Linked DNA regions of Solanum lycopersicum. The protein of the gene in region 2 binds, or shares a complex with, the protein of the main gene of each other region. Links are inferred from orthologs where the notes say so. Each region holds a gene or a part of one and is shown on either strand. Other genes may lie near its edges.

Region 1 (3,269 bases), on a different chromosome or scaffold from region 2:
ATTCATTTGATATTTGAAGAGTAAGTGAAATTTTAGAACTTATCAAACTCTTGAGAATTACGGAGTTGTTATCAAACTCTTGAGAATTACGGAGTTGTGTTATCAAGAAACGAGAAACTCTTGTTTCTATTTAGCAATTAGCATGACCGTTGGTGTTTTCTTGTTCTTTGTTATTATTTATTGATTGAAGAGTAGGTATCTAAATGCAGATTGATAGGAACGTGCGCTTCAAAGCACTCTTCAATTGGATTTTCCTAATATTCTCTTTTAGACCAGAATGAGACACAAAGATCAAATTGTGAATATGAATTTCCATGTCTTTCAGCATTATTTTGGTGTTTGTTTTAACAGGCAACTGGAGCTGGATATGGAAACTGTAGTTAAGGTACTACAACCTGGTCCACTAGGCATTGTGGAACACAAATTTTCTGCTGAGGAAATACAGAAAGCCAGTGACACCGTTAAGCATGCAGTGAGTAATTGGCGTAGGCAGGCTAACATTGAGAAACATAGCCCCATCATGAAAGATTTTATTGATGTATGAGAGAATTGTTTCTTCATTTGCTGTCAATAATCTCATGAAAAGACAATAGTGTAAATTTGTAATCTCAATAGAAATAAACTATAGTTATACTTATGACTAAAGCTCTAGTCGTTCTGTTTCCCAATCCATTGTCATTGCAGTGTATGAACTGCGTATTGACAGTATAGAATATTGTTGTTGTATAATGCACATAGTTGTTCCTGTTAATATTGTTCCTTGAAGACTACTGCATATATAATGCAGCAAAACGAAAAGATGATAATCAAGATATCAAATGTGAGGGCAGTTTTTGCCTGATTACTCAGCTCCATGTTCCTTCCACCAAGTCGATCCACCATGTCTGGAACAGATTCCCAGTTTTCTACTTCCAGCATGCGTGGATCTTGCAGCCTCATTTTCATTTTCTCTGCTTCTCGACTTGCTGTCTCCTGAGCTAGTGTCCAATCATAGAATCGCCGTTGTTCCTCATCACTCAGGACATCATAAATTTCTCTTAGTTTCATAAATTTCTCTGATGCTGCTCTTATAGGAAGATTAGTTGTGTCTGGATGATACTCCTTTGATAGCCTCCTATATGCAGCTTTAATTTCCTCTAGATCAGCTGTTGCAGATACTCCCAAGAACCTGAATTTGAAACATTAGAATTATGAACTGTGAGCCACACATTAAGAGATAAGATGAAGATAGCAAAGTAGATAATGAAGACTAACTGGTAGTGAGAATTAGCTGAACTGTTGAGGAGGTCTGAGAATTTTTCATCAAAGAGATTCTTTTCGTCTGTTTTGATTCGTTCTTGTGTGGACCGTGACTTACTCTCTCCTACCCATCCTTCATCTTCGTTTTCCCAGTGAATTCTTGTGTCAACACCAGGAGGAGCACGTTGTCGCCCAGTAGCCCCTTCTTCTTTTGCATAAACTTGTAAGCCAACACGGCGTCTTCTTTGTTTTGTTGTCAACCATCTGGTATCTGTTCTGTGCTCATTATTGGTTTGGTTCCTTGTAAGAAAGGTGAATGGAGCTGGTGGAGCTGTTGCTGACGCCATGGAATTGGAAATTTGTTTTGTGTCTGATTTGAGTAGTCTTAGAGGGAGGGGCTTTCTCATCACCTTGTCTTTCTGTGTGGTTGAGGAAATAACTAAACATTTTGTTTGCTTTTTTGTCTACATTTGTGAAATATCAATAATTTTGATTTTTGACGTTTGTACTCTTTAACTTCAAGACAATTTATATACATTCTTTAAGGTACTAAAAAAATTATAAAAGTAAGTTGGACAGGTTGAGTTATGATCCACGTTTTAGTCCATTTCAGTCCAAGTAACTTTTGGGCGGATCAATGACCTGTCTATTTATTAACTCAGCTCATTTTTAACCCGAACAAATTCAGTCTTACCCGCTCATTGCCACCTATAAATACAATCATACTCCTTGGGAGTTGGGTGGCAAAAAGAATGAGTTTGTGAGTTAGTGTTCGGAACGCAACACACCCCTTGTCTCTATATTTTCCTTTTTATATAATTATCATGATATTCAAGTTAGCTGACATATATTTAAACTAATTTTATAGGATGAGCTAACTCGTAACTTGTTTTTTGAATTGTTGAAGTGGAGGTCAATGTAATTTATTTTCTTTTTTGTGGCAAATAAAAGAGAGCCAAGTTGTTCTTTTAACCCTTTTTAAATCTATCTTGCTTTCAATTCACAAGGCAGGATCATTATACAAATATCACATATTTTACTTTTTTGAATAGATTCCGAATTTACAAACTTTAAATCCTGGATTCACATCTCGAGGAAACACAACTTCATACTCAAGCATCTAACAAAAATAATTAAAACAGAATGACAAGTCATGTTGAAGTATGGCATTGTATATAATTTATTATTACAATGCTTAAAGATACATTAAAAGACACTTGTTTGAGAAAACAGAGTTTTCATTGAGCATACTAAATAAAAGATGCTCAATTCCACAAACATTAAGAAAAACCAAACTTACAAGGTGTTAATATGCACTTTCTACATGATATATTGTAGTTTTACTAGCGTGAGTCTGAACTAATCATGCCAGTAAATTTCGCATACTAGATATGTAAAGCAAAAAAAAAAGTGTATATATATATATACACACTATAGCCAAAGAGCTTTAGCTTTCATGAGTAGAGGAACAAGATTTCCCTCTAGATGAAGACTCATAATCTCATTGGCACCGCCAATTAATTCTTGTCCAATAAACACTGCTGGCACGCTAGGCCTTCGGCCTAGCATCAGCAGAGCTCGCTCCACTTGTAGCCCATTGGGAAGTTCATCCAATTCATATACAGTTAAATTAGCACCAAAACTTGATATAAGTGTCTTTATAGTGTGACACATACAACACTTGCTTTTGCTAAACATAACCACTGGCTTTTCAGCTACCATTTTTTTCAATGACTCCATTTTTAATTAATGAAAAAAAAAGATTAATGTAATATAAGAGAATTGATAACTTGTTGAATTGATGATGAATTTGAAACTCTTATTGAAGCTATTTATATACTAATAGTGACTTGTGAAGATTCAATATGCTTCCTCTAAACCCCCCCCCCCCCCCCCCCCCCCACCCAAATAAATTAAAGGAAGGAATAATTTTTTAGATAAGGAGTTGATACTGTTAGATAGCATTAGAAGTTCTTGATACTGTCTTAAAAGTGTACCAAAAATATATATATAAAAAAAAAATCCACCAT
Region 2 (3,934 bases):
TAGCTCAGATGGTAGAGCGCTCGCTTAGCATGCGAGAGGTACGGGGATCGATACCCCGCATCTCCATTTTAATTTTTTTCGATAATATTTCATTATATTTGAATTTTGTTAAAACGGTATATTTATCTTTGTTTGGTAATATTTCATCATATTTGAATTTTGCTAAAACGGTATAGTTATCTTTATTTGATAATATTTCATTATGTTTGAATTTTGCTAAAACATTATAATTATCTTTGTGTGATCTATAAGTCACATGTTCGAACCTGAAATAAGTCTTGGATTATGGCCCTTCCCCCGTTCCACGGGTCATGTATAAAAATTTTGCTACGATGGTACGGTATAGTTATCTTTGTTTGGTAATATTTCATTATGTTTGAATGCTGCTAAAAAGTTATAGTTATCTTTGTTTGACCTATTAGTTACATGTTCGAACCTGAAATAAGTCTTGGATTGTAATCCTTCCATCGTTCCATAGGTCATGTATGGACTCGAGATGCTTCATGCACCGAGTTGTCTCTATTATAAAAATGTGGAAATCAAATTGAATCTCCATCAAAGTGTTATTGACAATTCCAAAATTTACGAAGGAACATTTTGTCTTCTTGTAGTCAAAATGACTAATTAACAGAATATAATTAAAACATATGTTTTGTTTATGCCATTCTGTCCATGACTTGTTGGAGAATAGTAGTTGTTTCTTGATAACATGATTGTGTTTGAGGCAGGTTCTTTTTCTTCACAGCATCTTCAAGCTGCATAAAAAAAAATATTGGAGCAAACACATGATCAAAAACTTTGCTATTTATAATTACGTTGTTCAGACTTTTCAAAAATATTGACGGTCACCAATCATAATGTGTGTCGTATTCTACAAAATCTATACATTTTTGTAAGGATCCGACAATATTTTTGAAGTGTCAGAGGAACACAACACCAGACTTATATTGCTCGGACTTCAATAATATTGCCAGAGCATGTGCTAAGATTTTTGGAGGATCTGATACGAGCACAACAATATTTTTGGAGGGTCCGATCAATATTGTATCAGACATATGTTGCTCAGACTCTTCAATAATATTGTCACAGTTTTTGTGTGTAAGATTTTGGAGGATTCCACATGGGCACAACAGTATTTTTGGAGGATTCGACCAACATAGTTATCAAACCTATGTCGCTCGGATTCTTCAAAAGTGCTTCTATATATGTCCGTCAATCGAGGATCCTCCAAAAGCTATGCAATGGATCCGACATAACAGGTACAACAACATTTTTAGATGGTCCAATTAACATAACATCAAGCCTATATATGTGTATATATATTGCTCAGACTCTTCAAAAACACTATTGACATCACATTGTGTACCGCATCCTCAAGAAAACATGCATTTTTCAAGGATGTGACACTGATACGACAAAATTTTTGTAGGGTTTAACCAAACTAATATCAATCATATATTGCTCAGACTCTTCAAATCTATATATATTTTTTGAACACATTTGGGACAATATTTTTGAAGGATACGAGCAACATATAATATCAGACAAATAAAATCAAATGTACCTTCTCAACGTTATCAAATAATCGATTAGCAAGATCAGTGAGAGGTTGCTTATCATTCACTTGTGCAGCTGTGATAACTTCATCAAAATCATAATACATAAATGTAGATTTAATCCTCAAATATTTCCTCACATAATTCCAAGAATCTGTTCCAATCAAATCCCCTAATGCCAATAAATCAAATGCATATCTTTTCAACCTATGAATTCTCCCTTTTGTTCCAATATTAGCAATGTACATTCCTTTCTTAAGAAATGATCTTGTACCTGTCTCCTTGTTTATAATATCTACAATCAAATATTACAAAAACTTTTATCTAACATATTAAAATTATGGACGATCGACTCGATTCTTGATATCTTAAACTTAAATGCGCGAAAAAAGCTCAATTTTTTACCCTTTGACACCAAATGGGGTCCGACATCACTACAAGAAAACTGTAAATTACATAATACGGATAGGCGTATAGACTTTTTCTTCTTACGATCCTATCATTTCTGCTTCAGCGAAATATTCTGATTCGGCTAATTTCACACTTATCTATGAGCTATGATGGGGATTTTTCTGAGAATTAGTATGAAAATTTATAGGAAAATAAGTTTATGGTGAATTTTTATACTAATTCCAAGGAAAATCCCCATGTATTCACAGCTTTTTCGTAGTGTATAAAGGTAATTTTACATCGAATTCAAATTTTTTTACTCGAATAATTTGGACATGTGGGGTTCACCCATTTCATATTCGTGCTATACATGAACTTTGTTAATGTAGTCTGGTACATAAAACATTTCGCATTAGATGAATTGGGAATATCTATAAATGCAAGTGTTAGTGGCTGTTAAACGCGACGTGATAAAAAAAAATATAGAAAATAAAAACTTACTGGTGGATATTGAAGGGTCTTGTAGTGGACCAGTAATAAAAAATCCATTATTATCTTCAGCAAGTGAAATATCAATTCTTGAATTTGCAAATAAAGCAATTGAACCAATGCTTAATGCTAATCTTCTTGTAATTTTTGGTGGTGAATTTTCTTGAATTTCTTTATTTTTTTGGCTTATTGTTTTTGCTTTTTTCTGAATTTTTTCAATCTTGGGAATGAGGGGAAGAGCTTCAAATATAATGTTTAAATTTGTTGTGTTTGCCATAATTTTTTGGTGTTGAAACTATGAACAAAAATGATAGCCTATTTTTTGCACTTTCAAAAAAAGTTATAATATTATTATCCATTTGATGAAAATCTTGATGACTATTGGCCACTAGAAGGATATCTCAATTGAGGGTAAGATTGTAATTCTCCCCTCTTTTCTTTTCTTTTTTTCCTTTTTATGTTTTTCCCAAAATTATAAATTCCTATGATATTTTTATTTTTCGAATTTGTTACTTAAAATCTTAGCTCTGTCACTGACTTTCAACCTAATTATTTTGAAGAAAGAATCAAATACGAGTGAGCTGGATAATTTATCTATTTTACTTGACTCATTTTCAATCTCTTTGTATCTATAACTCGATTCTCCTATTTGTTACACTTGTATTTTTTTTATATGGTCAATGAACTAAGAACTTATTTAACTATACTTGTTTATGTCTTATATAAGCAAAGTGACATAAGTAAAGATTAATATATGAGTTTTGACTTATTTTTGTTATTTTGTCGTAGCATCAAGTGTTTAATATATGAGTTTTGACTTATTTTTGTTATTTTGTCGTAGCATCAAGTGTTTAAAAATACTTAATATTTTACATGAATGCTATGAAACTGTTTAAATACACCTAAAATAAGTCAATTAAAACATGTTCTAATAATTATTAGTATCTCATAAAGTCATATTTCTTCTTGATTCAATTTCCGTAACGGAATGTTCAAGGAAGAAATGACCGCACGTCGAGTAAATATGACCAAAGTCCATTTATTTGCTCTCTTTATTCTGTAGATACGCTCGTGGAAAGAAAAATCGGAATTGAAAATGTAGATTGATCAATTCCGCCCCGTTCGAGTAATCGTATTGCATATAATGAACTATAAGCCCAATGGGCTTCACTTACAGGCCCAAACTTCTTCTAAAACGGACCCATGCGAGCCCAAAATTTTCACGCATTTTGGGACCGAAGTTCAAATTACACACTCTCCGGCAAGTTCCTCCGGCGAAGTTCTTCTCCGACGAGCCAACTCCGGTCAAATCCTTTCCGGCGATAACACCGCTGTAAGTTCTAACTTATCTCACTTTCTATATATATTCCTTCTTCCATTGCTCTGTATTCATATACAGAAATGTTTAAATTCGATTTCAGATATAAAATTGACTAATTTAAAGAGTTAATGTTTCACAGTAGTAGTTTAAATTAGGTAGAAATCATGTTAAATTGAGT
Region 3 (3,950 bases), on a different chromosome or scaffold from region 2:
TGATATTTTTCATTTTTCAGAGTCAAATAGTTTAAGTATGATCGAAAATTTGCACGTACAATCTTTAATATTTTTCAAAATTTAAATTTATATATTTGTAAACTACGTTAAAAGTAATATAAGTCGTAATAATTGACAATTCAAAATAATTAAAAGATATATATAAAAATTTACGATCAAAGATAGACTTGTTTGAATCTCGAAATTCAAAAAGTGTCGCTTAAATTGGAACGGAAGTAGTACATAGAGCTAATTCAGTAGGTATATTTACACATACAACAAGCAATATCAGAACATTCATAAAAAATATTAGAAAAAAAAGCCAAATCATGTTAGTTATCACTCATCATTCAATCAAACTTTTCAACTCTTAAGTTCCTTCTTAATGTAACTTTAAACATCCTATGTACTTTGATTTATACAACTCTCATCGCAGTAGCGCAATCAGAATTTTTATTAAGGAAATTCAAAATATAAAGAATTGATAAAGGGATTTGACATATACTAATAAGAAATATATAACTTTGACCTTATATATACAGTGTAATTCTTCAGCTAGGGAGTTCATTAGAGTTTTTTTTTCATCTCAATGTAGTTAAGAAACATATAGTACAACCATGGAACAACACCAGATCATATGCATCTTCGAGTAATCGATGAAATCCAATGATCATTACGCGATTCATTTAGATACCTTAATGATATATTCAGAACATATGAATTCGTTGTTCTTTTTTATTTCTATCGTTTCATGATATCGTCCTTCTTAACAGTAAAATCCCATAAATCACCATATTTTTCGTTGAATTCCCAAATGTCCATTGTGTTATAATCCGATATTAACTTATCTCGCGCACCTCTCTCCATGTTATATATTTGAGGCTCGAAATTGTGTGCTTCACTTGGTTTGTCCATCTCAATGATACAGAACACAATTGTAAACACAGCTGCTCCAATGTACAAATACTCCCCCTGCATTGTCAAAGAAGTGAAAATACAAGACTTTTAGTTGCTGGAAACGGGTGTTTTCGAGCCTCGAAAAATGTGTAATATAGTAGAGATTTAGTCATTAACTTACAGGAACATTGAAGTACATTCCTGCAACTATTGCTGGAGGAAACAGCCATGAAATGATACCTATTGTCGAACACCAGAAAAATAAGTTATTTTAAGTAAATAACTAAAGAAGCACTCAAGGGTGTGCCCTAGTGGTCAATGAACTGGTTAAGAGTCACGAGGTCTCATCACGTTCAATTCTCAGCGAGAGAAGAAAAATTCTAGGTGATCCTTTCATTTGTCTTATCCACTGTGGATGAATAGAGTTTTTTTTTTCCACCCGATGTCCGGAGCTTACATTGGAATTACGACTAAATTCGAATCGCACATTGCAGGTCCTATATTTGAGGGTGACGCTCCCAACATGATTTTCTCAATAGATCATATCCAATACTCAAACCCGAGACCTGTGGTTAAGAGTGAAACACTCCCACCAGTGAACCACAATCGGTGTTGGTAGATGGATAGAGTTAGCTGATACTTGTTGCTGATGGAAAGTATTTCGTGAAATTAGTCAAAGTGCGAAAAGTAAATGACTAAGTTAATGATCATATTATTATGGTAATTTGTTACATACCTTGAAATCCTGTTGGGGGTGCAATAGCAGCATAATCTTCTGCTATGGATCCCCAAAATGATACTGAAAATGCAAGTGATATAGAATTAAGTATAGTTTAAGTATAAATACATTTACCTATTTTTGTAAAAATAGCTACTCAAATATTGTGTTTTTCGAAGAATTTGAACACGTGGAGTTCACCAATTTCACGTTGGACAAATATGAAACGATTTATTAAACGAAAAGTCGAACGAAGACTAACTTGATCGAATTCATATAATAATACATTGGACAAATTTAGATATTTTTCAATTCAAATTACAAATTAAATCGAAAAAAACACACACATATTGTTATGTACCTTTTTTATCTTCACTTTCAAAGTACGTATGATGATCATCGTATTTTCCAAAAACATAATCTTCCTGCAACAAATTAAAATAAAATAAAATTAGTTAACATGCGTCTGCCTTAAAATAAATCCGTCAAAATTTCAATAAAAAAAAAATTATTACATAAATATATAAATATGCCCTTCAATTTTGTTTCAGTTACATCTATATCCTCTTATTTTCGATGTACACAAATAGAGACTTATATAAAATTGAAAAAATAGATACATTTGTCAGTTAAAAAAAGCCAAGTTAAAAGGACATTTTGTATTATATCAAAATTATTCGATATCTATGTTGATGAAAGATATTAAACTTACTCAAACACTACAATTATTTAAAAACAACGAAGAAAAGAAAAGAAACATTACAATGTCAATGCCATTAGTTCTCCATCGATCAACAGGATCTTCGTTGATATCTGGTTCTATCTCTGTTAGTCCTGCATACAATCTTGTTGATGATCTAAATCCACCACATTTTGTACCAATTTTCGAGGAAATCGAACATGGATTTCCTCGAAAAAGAACACTCCATTTTGTTGAGAATACTGAATTGGGAACTGGAATTGTGGAGAGTAGTGAAAGTGTTAAAGAATTCTCCATTGTTGTTGAGTAGTGTTGCTCTGTTCTTGCTTGTTTACTCTATGTTTTCTAACTTTATTATCCATATATTTTGAATGGTTAAGGCTATACGTGGATAAGGCTATTATATATTATGGTTTTATATTTTTTTTTTAATATCTATTTAGTCTCTTATTGTGTTACCACAATTTCCGACCCCTTTTAACTTGATTTCATCTGACATCTATGTCTTTCAACTTTGATTGTAGATAAATCAACACTTAAATTTATATAACATTGAACAAACATAAACAGACGTACTACGTGATATAATGCACGTAGGACATTATATAGGATGCAAATTGTCACGTACGATGTCACATAGGATGTGTCTACTTGTTTAATTATATACATATTTATATGTCTGCTTGTAATTGTACATATCCAGAATTGGAGAACGTAAATGTCTATTTAAATGAGATTATTCAAAATGCTTTAAACAAAATAAATTAGCCTCTCTTAGCCATAAACCAGATTTTTTTTTTGCTTACCATTATAAAAATTATTTTAAAACTATTTTAAAAAAATATTTTCACCAATATTTCAAAATTTTAAATTTTTTTCCAACTTATGACAAAAATAAGGGAGAAAAAAGGAGGAAAATATCGACGACATTCATACAGAAATAATTATTTCAATAGGAAACTATTTAATTATAAGTAAGTTTAGGTTTAGCAAACATAAAAAATCATATTTGTATACTATAACTATAGTTTGTATAATTGCGGCCCATACCAAATTTTATACTTGCTATGGTACATTAAATCATTGGCAGCCTCTCGTTTGTATAAATCGTTGACAACCTCTAAATTCAATTTTATGTGTTTGTATATCTGCATAAAATTTGAATTTGTATACAATGTATCGAAATAAAACATTTGTATATCAAATCGCTCTCTCTCTCGAGTTATATAACACAAAGTATACATTGTAATTTGTGTTTATATAAAGCGAGAAAGAGAGAATGACAAAAGAGAACTTGTAGAGGAAATCTGTATTTGTATAATTATAAGTGTATATGACGAAATTATATGTATGTGTACATATAATTTTCTCCCGCTTTATACAAATACAAACACAATTTATTCATTTGCCTTTTGTATAAAGTGAGTGAGACGAGGGAGAGTGACGAGCAAGACCTGGGAGAGTGGCAAGCGAAATTCGTCGGGGAGAGAGGTGAATGACAATTGTTTGCTACGAGTTACAATTAAATCAAAGTATGATTATAACATTAATTTGAATTAATAATTTGATATTTTATATAATTTTTCCTTTAATTATTAAGCAACTGTACGTATACTGTATCTTTCTTTTATGTAT
Region 4 (3,212 bases), about 53 Mb from region 2:
TTTCATCATATTTTATAGGCATAATACATATATTGGACCCTAAACTTGACTTCAAATTTTGACTTTGACCTCCAACTTTAATAGTGCACAAATAGACACTTAAACTATCATACCATTAAATAAATAAACACACGATTTTTGGAGACAAAGAGAGTGAAATGCAAATGCTCCCACGTATATTAGTGAGCCACTCAATGACTGCCAACTAATTAAATATTTTATGCGTCCATTTTAGAATTTAAAAAAAATTTAAATGAATTTTGATTTGGAAATATAAAAAAATATATAAAAGGGATTCATTAATGGTGGAGTTGTTATTTCAGCATTTTTTTACCATTGTGGACCTCAAAAATTACTACTCCTAACTCGCACAAAATACATGCACATTACATGTTTGCCAGGTACGACTCGCGTGTTTATTTATTAAAGGGTTAGATAATTGAAGTGTTTGTTTGTTTACTATGAACGTTGGAGGTCAAAGTTAAAATTTGAAACCAAGATTAGATATGTATCATGCCGTACTTTATTTGTGCTTTATTTTCCATCACTTTAAAATTTGTCGTTAACACTTCACCGCTTCAACTACAAGGGGATTTCAGTTACTTATGGGATAGCCAGAAACATTCTTTGTACTGTAATTCAATAAACAAATTGCAAATCCTGTTTCATGGAACAAGACTCTATCATTGCAGCTCTTAGAACAATTCTAAATGTCCAACACCTGAAATGAATCAGCCACCACTTTAAGTTTGTTGCGGAATTTTCTCCATCGCCTTTCATTCGCTCCCACGATTAATGTGTAGTATCTCCCTGTACGAAATGTCTTAATACGAATGCAGAAAAATGTAATGTACAGTTAAAGGAAACAAACCAGATCACTTACCATTTGCAATTGCTATAGTAGCAAATGCTGCCCGCGAAAAATTTGGAGATGTCAATACATATTCAAAGGTGAAATAGTTTTTCCCATCCGTAGTTCTCTACATAATTTTGAACAAAAATATGGTGACTAATTGAAAAAGAGCTACGTATATTGTACAATCAAGAGAATAAGAAAGGATCATACCTCCTTCATTTCCATTATATTTGCCACCTGATTCGGTGCAGAGTAAACATGTTTTACCAGATCGGGCACAACCTTTAGGAAAGTAGAAATAAGTTGGTATGACGAAGAAAATACATGTCTTTTTTATATTTTTCTCCTCCTTGATAGCTTAATAAAAAACGGCTACATAGATGAATAGTACCGCGATTTACCTCTTGCATTGGCCCCAAATCATGGATATCTGTTTTATCAGTTGGTATAAAACTAAGTCTTACATTTTGCAGTTGTAGATACCTATCTTTAAATGCAGAATCATGACCTCTGAAATCGAATTCCTGTACATACATCCAAAGTCAAAATGAGAGTTTACTAATTTCTAAAAATTCATTTCTTAAAAAAAAAAGAAGCAACATACCCTCCAATCTGATGGATAGTAATACGAATAACCATCTCGTTTGTCAACAAAGATTTCATAGTTCTCCGGTACTCCTGCATACACGTCATTTAATTATAAAAAGTAAAAAGTTTAGAGAATAAAAATTATAGTAACAGAGTACCTTGAGCTAGAAGGGGAGTCGCGGGTAATAATAAACCCAACGAAAGAGCCCCTGCTCCTAATAGATATGACCTTCTCATCAAGCATCCTGAAACAGAGATACTAGTAGAATTTTACCACGGAGAAAATGGCGTAAATGCAAACATGACTTCATAATTGATCGATATGAAATTTTCTTACTCTGTTGATTAGGGGACGTGTTTTCTGATGCCGAACATGTAATAATGTTGTGTAAGCCATGCCTATTCAAATTGTTGGCTGCTGGTGATGGAAGCCCAAGATTCAATGAGAGTGAAGTAGCTGCCATTTTTGTGGACAAAAATCACTAGATTTTTGCTTAACATGTTTATTTTTTCTCCTAATACAATCACTTTTTTTTCCATCATTTTTTCTTGCTCAATAGGATAAGATGCAAATTAAATGTGAGGATGACCTTTCCTGCCAAGGTCCAAATGGGCTTTTATGTCTCTTTCAACTACAACTAAATGAGCTGTGCTTCATATGTGGGGCTAAAATTTGACTATATCCACATTGATAATTTTTACTAATTGTTCTTGCAAATTTTTCACAAGTTTACCATGTCATAAATATCTGTATGTAACAACAGCACAAACTTGAATCCTTGATGGATGAGGCGGATCTAATGTATTGATACCGAGTTTATCTGAACTCAGTACTTTTAATGCGAAATATAAATTTATGTGTAAAAATTCATCAAAATTGCAATAGATAGTAAATGTAAACTTATAACTTAAAAATTAATGGGTTGATCAATGCTAAAAACCTTAACAATTGACTTCGAAGAATTTAAGATAATGATACTTTAACAACTCGACCATATGAAATGTGATATCAAATGCACCCATGTTGATGTGGAAAAACCAAGCACAGGTTCTTTCAATCACTGTATAGCACAAGCTATTTGAAAGGAAATCCAACTGGCGATGCATCAATGATCAATTTACATCCTAGCGTGGAGGTATTCATCAACTGTGTAAATGCAACGCCAAATATAATTGAAGAATGATCAAAGGGTACCAGGGGTGGAGTACGCCATGTTAATGTACCTTGGATGATCCAAATCTCAGTGTATGCGTCTAAAGTTTCAATCCTGAAATACAATATACAGGAAAGGAAAAATAGCAAGCAAACAATAATATTTGTATTTGAATTAATACTAAGGTTACAATCTTTATAAAATATCTCAAAAAGATATTTAATCCCCTGATTCTTCTCTTCACAGATGTTATTGATTTGGCGGAATACTTGCGGCTCAACCCTTGGAGCGAAGACTTCTTTATATGCTGAAAAGCAATTATGTATTCCTGTGTATATGTATTTTTTTTTGTCCTTTTGGTCAGAAGAATACCTCTTTATATAGGCTTGAGTTAGGGCTTTAGGGTATTTTGGTCTGAGCAATTTTGATCCCTGGGCCTGAAGAACATGAGTTGGGCTCATCTTGTCAACTTAATGGAATGATCCAAATGATTTGGACTTGATTTAAGTCATACAATTTTGGCTTAGATATTAATTAGACTTTATCAACCAGTAATTTGACTTGGTCAACATATGGTGATTTAAGATTTAATCCAAATGTAATATGGATTTATC
Region 5 (3,726 bases), on a different chromosome or scaffold from region 2:
ACTATGCAGTCTTGAATGTAAATTCAGAGATGATATCTTTTGTAGCTTTAAGCCAAAATTCTTTCCAATCTCCTCAACCAGGGAGGGAACATATTGGCCATTATTATTATTTTTTAATTTTATTTTTGAAGACAACGGGATTTCACAGTCACTATTCTTTGGGTGCGCACAAGGTAATTTTTTCGCTCTTATGCAATAGCTCACTACTTGCAAGCCTGCTGCAATGAGTTCGACCCAAAAGGCAAACTTCTTGCTTTCGCTGGCAGGGGGTTTCAAACATGCAAGTCCCAAGGTCAAACTACTGATCCAACCCAAAGGGTTAACAATTTGGCTATTATTGAAGTAATTTTTGATTTCGTGATGTGTATGCCATGAATCTTGTTAAAAGAGCATTGCATGACTTGCTAGTAGCAAATACAAAAAGAGAACTGATTCTGTACAGTGCAAATGTTGACATTGTGACAGTTCATTAAGACAACATTTTGAAGGGGAAATCTGAGTTTTGCAACATAACACTGAATTAAGGCAAAACAGCCATGTTGTATAGAACTGGAAATCATATATTGTATATACATAACTGGGAAGCATCATAAAATTTGTTCTTAGCACATATAAAGATGATCATTTGACCAACTGTTCCTTCTTCCCAGCTTCTTCAAGCTCTCGAAGACTCCCAACCTTTTGTTCAATCTCCTCTATCAGTTCATCACGCCACAGCTCTGCTCTCGCTTCTTCTTCGATGTCTTCTTGCTGCACAATCACAAAATCAGATTTGTAGTATCATTCACTACACAAATATCATGGCATTCCACCTTGTAAAGATATCTATATATCTTGAATAGGACATTTAGGTGCCAAAATTCATGTTGAAACAAATTCAGACAATTCGAAACTAGCTAGTATGATTTTGACATTTATATGCATAAAATTATTTCAGTAAAGTTTTATTTTAGAAACGAGAGATGTTCTTTTAATGGAAAAAACATTCACATCAAGAATTCAGGATTTAGACTACAATTAACTCTTTAAAAACCTTTTTTTCACCTGTCAAAGCTAAAACTCGCATGTGAGGTATAAACTATGATAATCCATGTTTTATCCGTGTGTTTGGTTGGAGGTATTAAGCAGTTCTGAGATTATTTATGATAAGTTATCACATTTACATGATCAAATAATTAATTCGTATAATTAATCCTAATATAACTTGTTCCCAACCAAACGACATATTAACTGAAACCTATAAACATTTCTCTGTCGCGAACAAGAAAGGGTATTTTTCCCTTTTGATTTTCTAACCTTGATAGAAAACGGAAAAGAAAAACTGTACCTTCTCATAGACCCAATGTCCAGTACCATCACCTCCATCTCCTCTGTATTGTTCTGAATCATAGTAAGGATCCTAAAAGAAAAAAGACACATAATAATGAGATACAACTCAATTTTATGAAGTTTAATTTCAAAAATTTTACTTTGGTAGAACCGAAGAAACAGCATCCCCAAACAGTGAACATGATGTAAAATGTATCTACAATGGAGAAAAAATTAGGTGTGAGAATTTTGAATTAGAATGATAAAAATGAATTAGTAAGTAATGATTACTCACAGACATTCTTCATGGCTTCATCACTAAGATGCCAAACAGATTTATGAGTTATGAGGTCTCTTTGACCTTCCATATGCTCAACTAATACTGCCATTAATGGCCAATCTGGGAGTGCCTTCACCCTATTTCTTTCAATCTAATCATAGAAATCCACAGCATTAATTATGCTTTTGCAAACCATACTTGTTCAAATCAATAATAACATGTAAAACCTACCTGGTGCCTCCTGCCTGCATTATTTCCAAAAGGTGAGGTTGGACAATGCCTTAGCTGCTGAGAAAGTGAAAAGAGGTAATTAGTTAAGCAGAATTAATTATAAAAAGATTGAATTTGAGATACAAGTAATGGTTTTAACTGATTTACTGAAAGGGTGCAGCAATTCCGATGTAGGACTAGGAATAGAGGGTTTGATGAATGTGAAGCTCATGATTTGAGTTTGGGATAGTTATTTTTGGGTTCCTCTATTCCTTTTATCCGAGTTATAAGGTTAGGAAAACACATAAGAAAAACACACGGTTCATCTATTCCCTTTATCCGAGTTATAAGGTTAAGAAAACACATAAGAAAAACACACTCTTCTGCTTACTCACAACTATTATTTTCTCAAACAATTTTGGTTTTGTCTTATTCTTCCTTTACCACACATCATACGCATCTTGGATATTGGAATTTAAATCATTGGGATATTTGCTACACTCAATACTTATTTAGCATAAAACTTATTAGAAACATTTATAATTAATGTAGGTGTAAATTACAAAAAATTATATATTATTTTATGTATCATAGAAGATATAACTAAAATATAAATAAGTAATACATAAAAAATGTATTTTCATTACTAATGTTAACATAAAATTATAACTAAAAAGAATTAAAAATATAGAAAAGGGTCTAAAATACCTTCGAAATATTGAAAATGGTACACAATTACCCTCCATCCATCTATTGGCCCCCAAATACCCTTCACACCCACCCTTGGGTCTAAATTTACCCATTCATTAACAAACCAAAATTAAAAATAATTAAATAATAATTTTTAATTACGTGGCACTCAACCATTGATTGTAATTTAATTATTTAAAATAATTTTAAACCCACCTATTTTAACTAAATCCGCCCACTTGACCCAATTTTAAAAATAACCATCTAATTAAAATATGCTAAAACCTTATTCCTCCCATTTTCACAATTTTCATGACTCCATTGTCTTTTCTTCTTCATGAAGAAATTTCCAGCTTCTTCTTCGATTTCTTGCCCTGAAGAACTTCAAAAGGATAATAAAATCCATCACTCCCCCCCCCCCCCTCACCCCCACTTTTTTTTTTTCAACACACACACATCACCTTCCTCTTTTTTCTTTGCAGATCAAGAAACCAGAGCAACTTATAAATAAAAAGTATTATCACTAACTAAAGTCTCCTAATTGCTTAACATCCATCTCTATCTTTCATTATCTTTCCTCTTATTCTACTCACTCTTCACCTTAATTCTTAAAACATTTTCCTAAGATTAAACCATTGAACTAGCTGAATTAAATCAAACAGTAATGCCATTACTGTTTGATTTAATTCAGCTAGTTCAATGGTTTAATCTTAGGAAAATTCAGCTAGTTCAATACCATTTTAATTTTGTGACATTTCTTAAGCATTTGAATTGATCTGGCAAATTGTGTTATCTTTCAAGGAAGATCGAAACGGGATGATGGTAGATGGGCGTGGCAAGATACCCTTCATCGTGATAGTCGTTCCAGTAGTAGCAGCAGGCGTTATGAGCCTTCACCATTGCCAAAGTTTCTTGGTGCTTCACCTGATTCTCGACTCGTTTTCCCATGGCTCGGCGATCATACTCCTCATTCTGCTGGTATGGTGTCTGTGAATTCTAACACTGGCGTTGTTTCGTAAAAATATGGTCATCAGTAAGATCTTCAAGTTTCAGATATGGTGCAAAATCCAGTTTGATTATGTCTTCTACAGGAGGTGCTCTGTCTGAGGTACTGTTATATACTCAAAGATGGGTTAATTGAATTTGGGGCGGATCTAATTTAGGAATGGGTGGGTTTTTAAATTAATTTAGGTTATTTAAAATCTGGCCAATAGAAAATTGTCACGTCATTAATTAAT
Region 6 (4,109 bases), on a different chromosome or scaffold from region 2:
GACCACAGAAGGCTAAACTGAAGTAAATCCAGGTAGCTTTTGCATACAATGTTGTTTTAACCACAACGACAAGATCTCAAAGTTTCCTTATTTACAAGAGAGTTGATTGATAAACAAGAAAAAGGAAGATGAAAGGAAAATCTTACCAGTTACCACACTCTGCAATGACCCTCACATTAGGACGAAGTGTCGGGAGTAAAGCAAGAAACTGCAGCTCTGCCTTTGATAAGACCTGAACATTTTAGGTCAAACAGTTAACAAAGATCTAGTCAAAATACTGCTGATGGACTAATTAGATGATGTACACTTGAAGGGGTGGATTTAACCTTGGCTTCTATTATCCAAACCACTAATCCTTTAGCATCCGGAGGAAGTAAAGAAAGCCTATAATCAACTTCTGGAGGAAAATACCATCTAGCTATTGGTTGCTTACCAACATGAGCCTGCAACATCAAAATTTGCAGATGAGAGTCAATTAGACACTGCAAGTTAGTGTTTGAGAATAAGCATATCGTATGCGAACTGCTAAACTTACAGGGCAGACAGGGTGGAATTTGGTAAGAGTGGTTTCAGGGTCACCGAGGCCACGAGCCGAAAGGTCCAAGAAATGATATCCCTGGTACTTAAGACGTGTAAGGTAGCGTCCTTCATAGCCCCCTTCATGAGGAGAGTAAATTGCTATGGCTTTGTGTTCTTCCACATCTGATAACCATTGACCCAAATCAGGTTTAATGAGATCTCCACCTATGAAGTCCTGAAGTTCAATGTTACATCTAATTGCTCCTTTCTTTTGTCTTCCAACTGAATCAAGTCTTCTCGTTCTCACAGCCTTTGATATGCCATTTAATTGTACTCGTTGCTTCTGCAGACCATAAGACTGCACTGCCCCTTGATAACAGGCTGCATTTTGCCATTTTAATTCAGATTTCATGGTACATGACCGAAAGAACAAAGGCATCATAATGAAAAACATTGAACGTTAAGACATCACTCTCAAAATTTAATTAATGCGAACAGGATAACAGTATCATTTTGGTGCTGCAAGTGTGCATTTCCACATGTAAAAGGTAGAAAAAGTTATAAATAAGTCATTTTCCAAAGAGAACTGATAAGATTATGTTACAGGGAGAACTGAAAGGGTGCCTACTGTAAGCAACCTGTGAAACTCGAGAACCAGAAGTCAGTTTTTACCATTGTCAACAATGGCTAGAAACATTGCCAATGCACTGCTTAATGTGACAGTGCATAACAGTAAGCACAAACATTTTCAGCTTTATAGACCAATATTAGGGAAAGTCTGGATTTCATACCATGTAAAACAATAACAATCGGGAACAAATGTGAGTTGGAGCTGAATCTCTACTCACCCAAAAAACAAAACTTCAAAACATAATTAAGTAAATGTACACTTTCACTACCTACCCCACTAATATTTACATATAACAAGCTGGAATCACCCATTATGATATCAAGTCTTGATCTTTTTAGTTCTTTAACCATCACCCTAATTTTGTAACAACACATAATAGCAACTAAGCATACGTCTTCACACACACGCACACCGTGATATTGAACTATAAATCTGAAAATTGGGAACAAATGCGAGTAGAAGCTGAATCTCTACACACCCAAACCATAGCTTAAAAACAGAATTAAGTAAAGTGTACATATCACTCCCTACTCAACTAAATATTCACATTTAACAAGATTGAATAGTCCATTAAGTTAAGTCTTGATCTTTTCAGTTCTTTAACCATCCCCCTAATATCAAGATATTATAACAACACATAATAGCAACTAAACGTTATACATCTTCACACACACACACACACACACCATGATATTGAACCATAAAGCTGAAAATTGGGAACAAATGTGAGTTGAAGCTGAATTTGTACACAACTTCAAAACATTATTAAGTAAAATGCATACTTCCACTCCCTACATAACTTAATATTTACATTTAACAAGCTTGAATCAACCATTAAGTTATCAAGTCCGTAAAGATATTGTCATCCGGACCTAACTCAATCGCAAAACCATACACCCTCCTTCACGCTTAGGCCCCTTGAGAGCGAGAACCAAAAGCTCACACCGGGAATGAACCTGGTACTCATACCATGTAAAATTAAGTTTTAGGCCTATCTAAACTACCTCAAAGGTAGGAGGTGCTCAAGCCTTAACCACCAATATGAACCCCTTTTTTTTAAAAAAAAATAAAAATTAACACCCCACCTCACACAGATGCAATATTATTACAAAGTCTTGATCTTTTCACTTTTTTAGTGATCACCCTAATATCAAGATATTGTAACAACCCATAATATCAATTAAGCATTATAAATCTTCACACTGCGCACACACACAGAGAAAGGGGTTATTGGGGATGACCTGAAGAGGAACAGGGTTGGTCTTCAGTGGAAATATTGGGGCGCCGCCGGCAAGAAGACCCATTGCTAGTAATCAAGAACCTCCTAGTGCTGCTGCTGCTGCTGGTGGTGCTAGGGAAGGTGTAGGAGAGAGTTGTCATTTGGGTATTTTGGTGGCAGTGTGTGAGTGGTGGCAGTAGGCAGCTATAGCAACAGAGACTGTGGAAGGACCATTGCAAACTTGGACAAAGATGACTACTTTGTTCCTTGCCACTCAATAAATGTGCTGATAAACTTTACAATAAAGAAATTACAAATAACAAATATTTAAATATGCATAATAATATTAGCTATATAAATTTATGGGATAAGTTCTATATTTTAAAAATTGAAATGATGTTTTGGGGAGAATTTAAAATTTGAGATAACATAATCTCAAATTAGTTATTCAAATTTTAATTTTATATTGTATATTCAAACATAGCTAGAATAATAATCATAAGGTGAGAGTTCAAACTCTATTGTAACTTTTTTAATGAAATAATTTTGTGATTTAGAAAAGAACAAAAGCCAAACTTAAACCTAATTTATATATTTTGGATTGAAAATCCAAAATCCAAGTAAAGATTATGAAATTTCCAAACATCCTATTTAATTGCATAAGTTGTCCTTCAAATAAATTAATTTTTATTCTTTTATATTTTGAATTTTTAAAATAAAACAAAGTTAAGTATTCATTGTAAAATTCATAAGGAGTAAGAACGTTCACCACAGATAAAATATGAATTGTGATACGACCATTAACATCTAAAAAAGACAATGTTTCACAATAATTACTAGTAAAACTTTTGAAACACATAACAGAACTCCAAAAATAATTGGAGCACATATATCTCCTTCCTTTAACTAGAACACGTACTATGGTGCTTTGATTCCTGCATCATATTTTGAAAATAAATTTATACCTTATAAGACATAAGTTGTTTAAGATAACAAAATATAACCAACACTCAATATATAATGATTTTAAAATATAAATTACCAGTGAAAATATTATTTATATAGTATTAAAACATAAAAACTAAAACCAGCTCTGTTGTAAGAGGGAAAATAAAAAAGACAAACTTTAGGGCTTTTTATATAGTAATCTCCCTATCGAAACCTCAAAGATTTCCCATTTCTGCAAAACCCAAATGGAATCCAAAGAGGACGAAGCCTCCCAAAGCGGAGCAAACCCATGGAAATTCAGTCCATTTCAAGCAAAGATTTAGTTTTGTTAAGGCTTCCGGTGAAATCCCTTTTACAATTCAGGTCTGTGTCGAAATCTTGGCTTTCCTTAATCTCTATCCCTAAATTTGTGAAGACGCATCTCTTATTTTGTGCTAGTAACAAGGAGTTATGTTTAAGGTTGCTATTTATGTTGGCTAGTTATGTGTAGTGATTTACATCGCCATTCTGTAAAGGAGGTAATTGACTTGGATTATCCAGGTAAAATTTCCAAAGACTATCCTTGGCTGGTGGGTTCGGTAAACAGATTGATTTGTGTTGCCTATGTAACAAATTGCATGACTTGTTTATATGGAATCCGTCAATTAGAAAGTATAGCAAGTTGCCTAGTTATAGACTTAATCGATGTGGTGGATATCAAGTGGAGGAACCTGGGGATAGCAGATTTGGTTTTGCGTTGATGTGCTTCAAGATGATTACAACGTAGTGGGAGTTTGCCCTGTTTACAGAAAT
Region 7 (3,972 bases), on a different chromosome or scaffold from region 2:
AAGCCTAAGAATTTACTTTTTTTTTCTCTTTTATGATCTCATTATCTCTTTTTCTATATATAATAATATTTTGTTTTTTCCTTTTGATCTCATTAATTGACTCTGTTTATAATCTTTACTTTTTTGACTTAATTGTTACACAATTTTGTGAAGTTCCTTTCCTTTTTCATGCATCTTTTTTTCTTCTTGATTGCATATTAAGCAATCGTTTTTAGGATAACTGTACTTGATTCTCCCTATGATGGAACAACAATATACATAATTTGTTATTTGCTAGCACTTTGTATTTTAATTAACACAAGTAGTATAACTCACGATTCTGACAACATAGATAGGATTTCTCCGTCTCAGACAGTAATGGAGCTAAAATTTTATCTAAGGGGTGTCAAAATCTAAAAAAATAAAATTATGTAAAAGCTAAGGAATATCAATATGTAATATATATATATATATATATATATATATTAAACCTAACTCAATTCAAAAAGCTAATTCAGGGCGATGTTTTTGAAAACGTTTTGGGGCGAGTTTCAGGGAGGGCCATATCGAAAATGCTCCAGGGCGTAAATGAAAGAAGTAAATTCATAAGGTGTAAGTCTTGAGCATAAAAAACGTAAGTTCTGGGCGTAAAACGTATATAGTGACGTTTTAATTTATTATTTAAAACTTTTTTTACTTTAAATTATATTTTTACTATTGGTGTAATAATATTTTTCAAATAGTAATTATAATATATTTTTCTTCATTATTGATTATTAATATTTATTGCAAATAAGAATTATAATCATTGAAAGATTTATTTTTATTTATTTTATTAGTAATAAAATTATAATATTAAATATACATGAGACTAAGCCTAGTAGACCCATGGGGCTTACGCCCCGTGTTCAGGGATTTACTCCTCGCCCTATACGATATAAATCACCTCACTTTTTAAAATATTGATTCAGAATACGAAAGAAATTCTAGTAAAAATTATTTTCTCTTTAAAATCAAATTTATGCAATTTAAATTAGTTAGATTATCAATATGGCTACCATACACTCGATTGAAAACAAAAACAAAAAATACTTTTTCATTCGTCATAATTTATATGATATTATTTAATTTAATATAAAATACAAATGATAGACATAAATTGAGACAAAAAATCGCTAATGACGAGGCAGGAACATAGTGACAACAATGGGGACCTACTTATCTCACTACCTTCACACATTGAAATCCAACGTCACCTTCTGCTATAGTTTTTAGCTATCCCCAAAAAAAGTTGCAGAATTTTATGATAACACTCAAATGGCTGCCTCTACTACTCTACTATCTAACTCCATTTCTCCTTTCTTTGCTAATCCACCTAATTTTCCTGTAACCCATGTCACAAATGTACCTTTCTTGAACCACAATCCATCTTTTCCCGCCAGAAAATCAGGGAATTTTTGCCTCAATGCCAAGAAAAAAAATCCATGGCTTGACCCTTTTGACTATGGTGATGATCCTGAAATGGAATATGGTTCACTTTTTTCTGAAGGGAAACAAGATGAAGATCCAAGGCCACCTGATAATCCTGATAACCCATATGGATTTCTCAAATTCCCAATGGGATACTCTGTTGAGATTGCTTCGTTGGGTTTGAAAATTAGAGGTGATGTTCGGAGATGTTGTTGTGTTATTGATGGTGGGGTTTATGAGAATTTGCTGTTCTTTCCAGTAATTCAGATGATTAAGGATAGGTACCCTGGTGTTCAAGTGGATATACTTGCAACAGCCAGGGGAAAACAGACATTTGAGATGAATAAAAATGTGAGGTGGGCTAATGCCTATGATCTGGATGATGATTTTCCTGAACCAGCTGAGTATACGGATATGCTTGGAATTCTTAAGGTTTCATGCCGTTCCATTAACATTAACATCGATTCATAATTATTTAAATTCTACGTTGCTTGGACTCTTCAAAAATGTTGATTTTAAAGTGCATTACTTTTGGAAGTATCCGACACACATTAATCTACGAGCAACATAGGTTTAAGCAAGTTGTTTCATTTGAAGTATGATTCTTGTCGTGCCTTGATGTATTAGCACCTAAAATTAGAGAAAGTAACAAACATTATATGGAAACTTAGTTAAATACGAAGATTTAACTATGGTTATCTTATGAGTTTGCAGATAATTCAAAAGTTGAGCAGACTACGTTTGGAAAAAGAATCGCTTAGATTAGCTTCAAGATGCTGTTCGTCTTGTTTAGTCAGATAGAGATAAAAGAATTTGCTTCCTGCATTATGAATAGAGAGTTATAGTCATTTTTTGGGCTAAGTTATTTGCTTTAATGCATGGTTTGTTGCAGAGTAGGTACTATGATATGATCTTGTCAACCAAACTGGCAGGGATTGGACATGCAGTATTTTTGTTTATGTCGACTGCTCGTGACAGAGTTAGCTACATTTACCCAAATGTGAATTCTGCAGGAGCAGGATTGTTTCTGTCAGAAACTTTTACACCAGAAAGCATGAACCTCTCCGAGGGCGGATATCATATGTAAGTAGATGTTCCAACTGATAACTTGATCTTTTTGACTACTGAATATTCATTTCAAAATAGGGAGTTTGAAAAGTGCAACAGTTGTACTTCGTCAAAGTTTGTATAAACATGTTTACATACACTTTTTTGAAATAGGTACCGTCAGATGGTTGATTGGTTGGGCAGACCAGCTCGTAAAGTACCTCGACAACCTTTACCCCCACTTAAAGTTTCAATCTCAAGAAAGGTTAGGGAGGTTGTAGAGGCAAAATATAAGAATGTTGGTGCACAGAAAGGCAAATATATTGTGATTCATGGGATTAAATCAGATTCAAAAGCTTCTATGCAGTCAAGGGGTGATATTGATAGCTTGCTCCCTATTGAGATTTGGGCTGAGATAGCAGAGGAGATAAGGTATAATGTCAGTATTTTATTCTCTGTCGGAAAAAGGGCCGACTCGACTACATGGTCATTTTTAGTTCTCGAATTAGCTGATTAGCCTTTTTTCATCAAATGCAAGAAAATTTGTGAGCTATACTAATGGTTTGTAAACTATCATTTGATCAGGGGAGTCAAGCCAGTTTTTGTCATTCCACACGAAAAAGAAAGAGAAAATGTGGAAGATGCAGTTGGTTACGATGCTAGTATAGTGTTCATAACCACCCCTGGACAGGTTTGTTTTCTCAACCACTTTCACAATATCAATGACCGATGATCAACCAGTGTTTAGTTGAACAACCATAAAAGAAGAAATTGGTTGGAGTCACAGATATAATGGCAACAATTTACAGTCATATTCAAGGAGGGTATAATCAAATGAAAGTAGTTTGCTTCTGTTGCATGTTTAGTGGCAGCTTTAACTATAGTCTATATACCGCGGGATGAGCACTAGAAAACTAACAGTCCCTGCATATTTCTCTGCCTTAGCTTGCTGCTCTTGTTGATGACTCTGCTGGAGTGATAGCTACAAATACAGCTGCGATACAACTTGCTCACGCACGTGGAAAACCAAGGTAATGTCATCTACTACAAGCTGTAGACGCGGAAATTTTTTGCACCTTCTGCTGTCTTTGTGGGGAGGTTGATATATCTTGGTTTTGTCTGTACAGTATTGGGCTATTCTGCTCTGAGGATAAGGCCAGAAGTTTTGTTCCCAATGCAGAAGCAAAGAAATGTGCAACTATTTCATCAAATACTGGAAAATTGGTTGATATTGATGTTGAAGCTGTGAAGAGTGCTGTTCAAATTTTCACCATGCCCCTAGCAATCTTCTAAATATTATACATCCTCCAGTTCTCTTACATATAGTAATTAAGTATTCCTGTAATTGTTACTAGTTCCATTTTCTTCTCAATTGTAATTAATAGAAGCGGAAATATATATATTCGTTCTTTTTTCTCAACAGAAAAGGAATATGGAGATATGTTATTTATCAATGTGACACTTTAGGACATTCTG

The links.
Region 1: photosynthetic NDH subunit of lumenal location 3, chloroplastic (region 2) and NAD(P)H-quinone oxidoreductase subunit T, chloroplastic share a complex: the UniProt entries of both Arabidopsis thaliana proteins name them as parts of the chloroplast NDH complex. The link is inferred for Solanum lycopersicum from reciprocal best matches to the Arabidopsis thaliana genes PnsL3 and NdhT.
Region 3: photosynthetic NDH subunit of lumenal location 3, chloroplastic (region 2) and photosynthetic NDH subunit of subcomplex B 5, chloroplastic share a complex: the UniProt entries of both Arabidopsis thaliana proteins name them as parts of the chloroplast NDH complex. The link is inferred for Solanum lycopersicum from reciprocal best matches to the Arabidopsis thaliana genes PnsL3 and PnsB5.
Region 4: photosynthetic NDH subunit of lumenal location 3, chloroplastic (region 2) and photosynthetic NDH subunit of lumenal location 1, chloroplastic share a complex: the UniProt entries of both Arabidopsis thaliana proteins name them as parts of the chloroplast NDH complex. The link is inferred for Solanum lycopersicum from reciprocal best matches to the Arabidopsis thaliana genes PnsL3 and PnsL1.
Region 5: photosynthetic NDH subunit of lumenal location 3, chloroplastic (region 2) and photosynthetic NDH subunit of subcomplex B 4, chloroplastic share a complex: the UniProt entries of both Arabidopsis thaliana proteins name them as parts of the chloroplast NDH complex. The link is inferred for Solanum lycopersicum from reciprocal best matches to the Arabidopsis thaliana genes PnsL3 and PnsB4.
Region 6: photosynthetic NDH subunit of lumenal location 3, chloroplastic (region 2) and NAD(P)H-quinone oxidoreductase subunit N, chloroplastic share a complex: the UniProt entries of both Arabidopsis thaliana proteins name them as parts of the chloroplast NDH complex. The link is inferred for Solanum lycopersicum from reciprocal best matches to the Arabidopsis thaliana genes PnsL3 and NdhN.
Region 7: photosynthetic NDH subunit of lumenal location 3, chloroplastic (region 2) and photosynthetic NDH subunit of subcomplex B 1, chloroplastic share a complex: the UniProt entries of both Arabidopsis thaliana proteins name them as parts of the chloroplast NDH complex. The link is inferred for Solanum lycopersicum from reciprocal best matches to the Arabidopsis thaliana genes PnsL3 and PnsB1.

The regions. Positions count from the first base shown.
Region 1 is NC_090808.1:63,749,795-63,753,063, reverse strand, and holds NAD(P)H-quinone oxidoreductase subunit T, chloroplastic, read right to left. Parts: upstream 2,024-3,269; 5' UTR 1,647-2,023; coding exon 1,255-1,646; intron 1,169-1,254; coding exon 748-1,168; 3' UTR 545-747; downstream 1-544. Other genes in the region: uncharacterized protein, read left to right, coding at 352-544; monothiol glutaredoxin-S2-like, read right to left, coding at 2,671-2,979. UniProt on the Arabidopsis thaliana protein: NDH shuttles electrons from NAD(P)H:plastoquinone, via FMN and iron-sulfur (Fe-S) centers, to quinones in the photosynthetic chain and possibly in a chloroplast respiratory chain.
Region 2 is NC_090809.1:1,367,805-1,371,738, reverse strand, and holds photosynthetic NDH subunit of lumenal location 3, chloroplastic, read right to left. Parts: upstream 2,795-3,934; 5' UTR 2,713-2,794; coding exon 2,448-2,712; intron 1,852-2,447; coding exon 1,565-1,851; intron 756-1,564; coding exon 657-755; 3' UTR 501-656; downstream 1-500. UniProt on the Arabidopsis thaliana protein: NDH shuttles electrons from NAD(P)H:plastoquinone, via FMN and iron-sulfur (Fe-S) centers, to quinones in the photosynthetic chain and possibly in a chloroplast respiratory chain.
Region 3 is NC_090808.1:66,330,675-66,334,624, reverse strand, and holds photosynthetic NDH subunit of subcomplex B 5, chloroplastic, read right to left. Parts: upstream 2,706-3,950; 5' UTR 2,613-2,705; coding exon 2,379-2,612; intron 2,041-2,378; coding exon 1,977-2,040; intron 1,697-1,976; coding exon 1,634-1,696; intron 1,138-1,633; coding exon 1,079-1,137; intron 973-1,078; coding exon 742-972; 3' UTR 501-741; downstream 1-500. UniProt on the Arabidopsis thaliana protein: NDH shuttles electrons from NAD(P)H:plastoquinone, via FMN and iron-sulfur (Fe-S) centers, to quinones in the photosynthetic chain and possibly in a chloroplast respiratory chain.
Region 4 is NC_090809.1:53,937,019-53,940,230, reverse strand, and holds photosynthetic NDH subunit of lumenal location 1, chloroplastic, read right to left. Parts: upstream 2,056-3,212; 5' UTR 1,909-2,055; coding exon 1,782-1,908; intron 1,704-1,781; exon of another isoform or gene 1,690-1,703; coding exon 1,603-1,689; intron 1,535-1,602; coding exon 1,461-1,534; intron 1,381-1,460; coding exon 1,258-1,380; intron 1,139-1,257; coding exon 1,067-1,138; intron 981-1,066; coding exon 884-980; intron 811-883; coding exon 707-810; 3' UTR 501-706; downstream 1-500. UniProt on the Arabidopsis thaliana protein: NDH shuttles electrons from NAD(P)H:plastoquinone, via FMN and iron-sulfur (Fe-S) centers, to quinones in the photosynthetic chain and possibly in a chloroplast respiratory chain.
Region 5 is NC_090811.1:46,151,489-46,155,214, forward strand, and holds photosynthetic NDH subunit of subcomplex B 4, chloroplastic, read right to left. Parts: upstream 2,246-3,726; 5' UTR 2,031-2,245; coding exon 1,959-2,030; intron 1,877-1,958; coding exon 1,820-1,876; intron 1,740-1,819; coding exon 1,604-1,739; intron 1,526-1,603; coding exon 1,470-1,525; intron 1,400-1,469; coding exon 1,328-1,399; intron 751-1,327; coding exon 622-750; 3' UTR 501-621; downstream 1-500. UniProt on the Arabidopsis thaliana protein: NDH shuttles electrons from NAD(P)H:plastoquinone, via FMN and iron-sulfur (Fe-S) centers, to quinones in the photosynthetic chain and possibly in a chloroplast respiratory chain.
Region 6 is NC_090808.1:66,282,369-66,286,477, reverse strand, and holds the start of NAD(P)H-quinone oxidoreductase subunit N, chloroplastic, read right to left. Parts: upstream 2,801-4,109; 5' UTR 2,531-2,800; coding exon 2,392-2,530; intron 901-2,391; coding exon 536-900; intron 444-535; coding exon 327-443; intron 233-326; coding exon 147-232; intron 1-146. UniProt on the Arabidopsis thaliana protein: NDH shuttles electrons from NAD(P)H:plastoquinone, via FMN and iron-sulfur (Fe-S) centers, to quinones in the photosynthetic chain and possibly in a chloroplast respiratory chain.
Region 7 is NC_090802.1:62,985,699-62,989,670, reverse strand, and holds photosynthetic NDH subunit of subcomplex B 1, chloroplastic, read left to right. Parts: upstream 1-1,172; 5' UTR 1,173-1,296; coding exon 1,297-1,881; intron 1,882-2,341; coding exon 2,342-2,532; intron 2,533-2,670; coding exon 2,671-2,928; intron 2,929-3,081; coding exon 3,082-3,187; intron 3,188-3,441; coding exon 3,442-3,527; intron 3,528-3,623; coding exon 3,624-3,789; 3' UTR 3,790-3,923; downstream 3,924-3,972. UniProt on the Arabidopsis thaliana protein: NDH shuttles electrons from NAD(P)H:plastoquinone, via FMN and iron-sulfur (Fe-S) centers, to quinones in the photosynthetic chain and possibly in a chloroplast respiratory chain.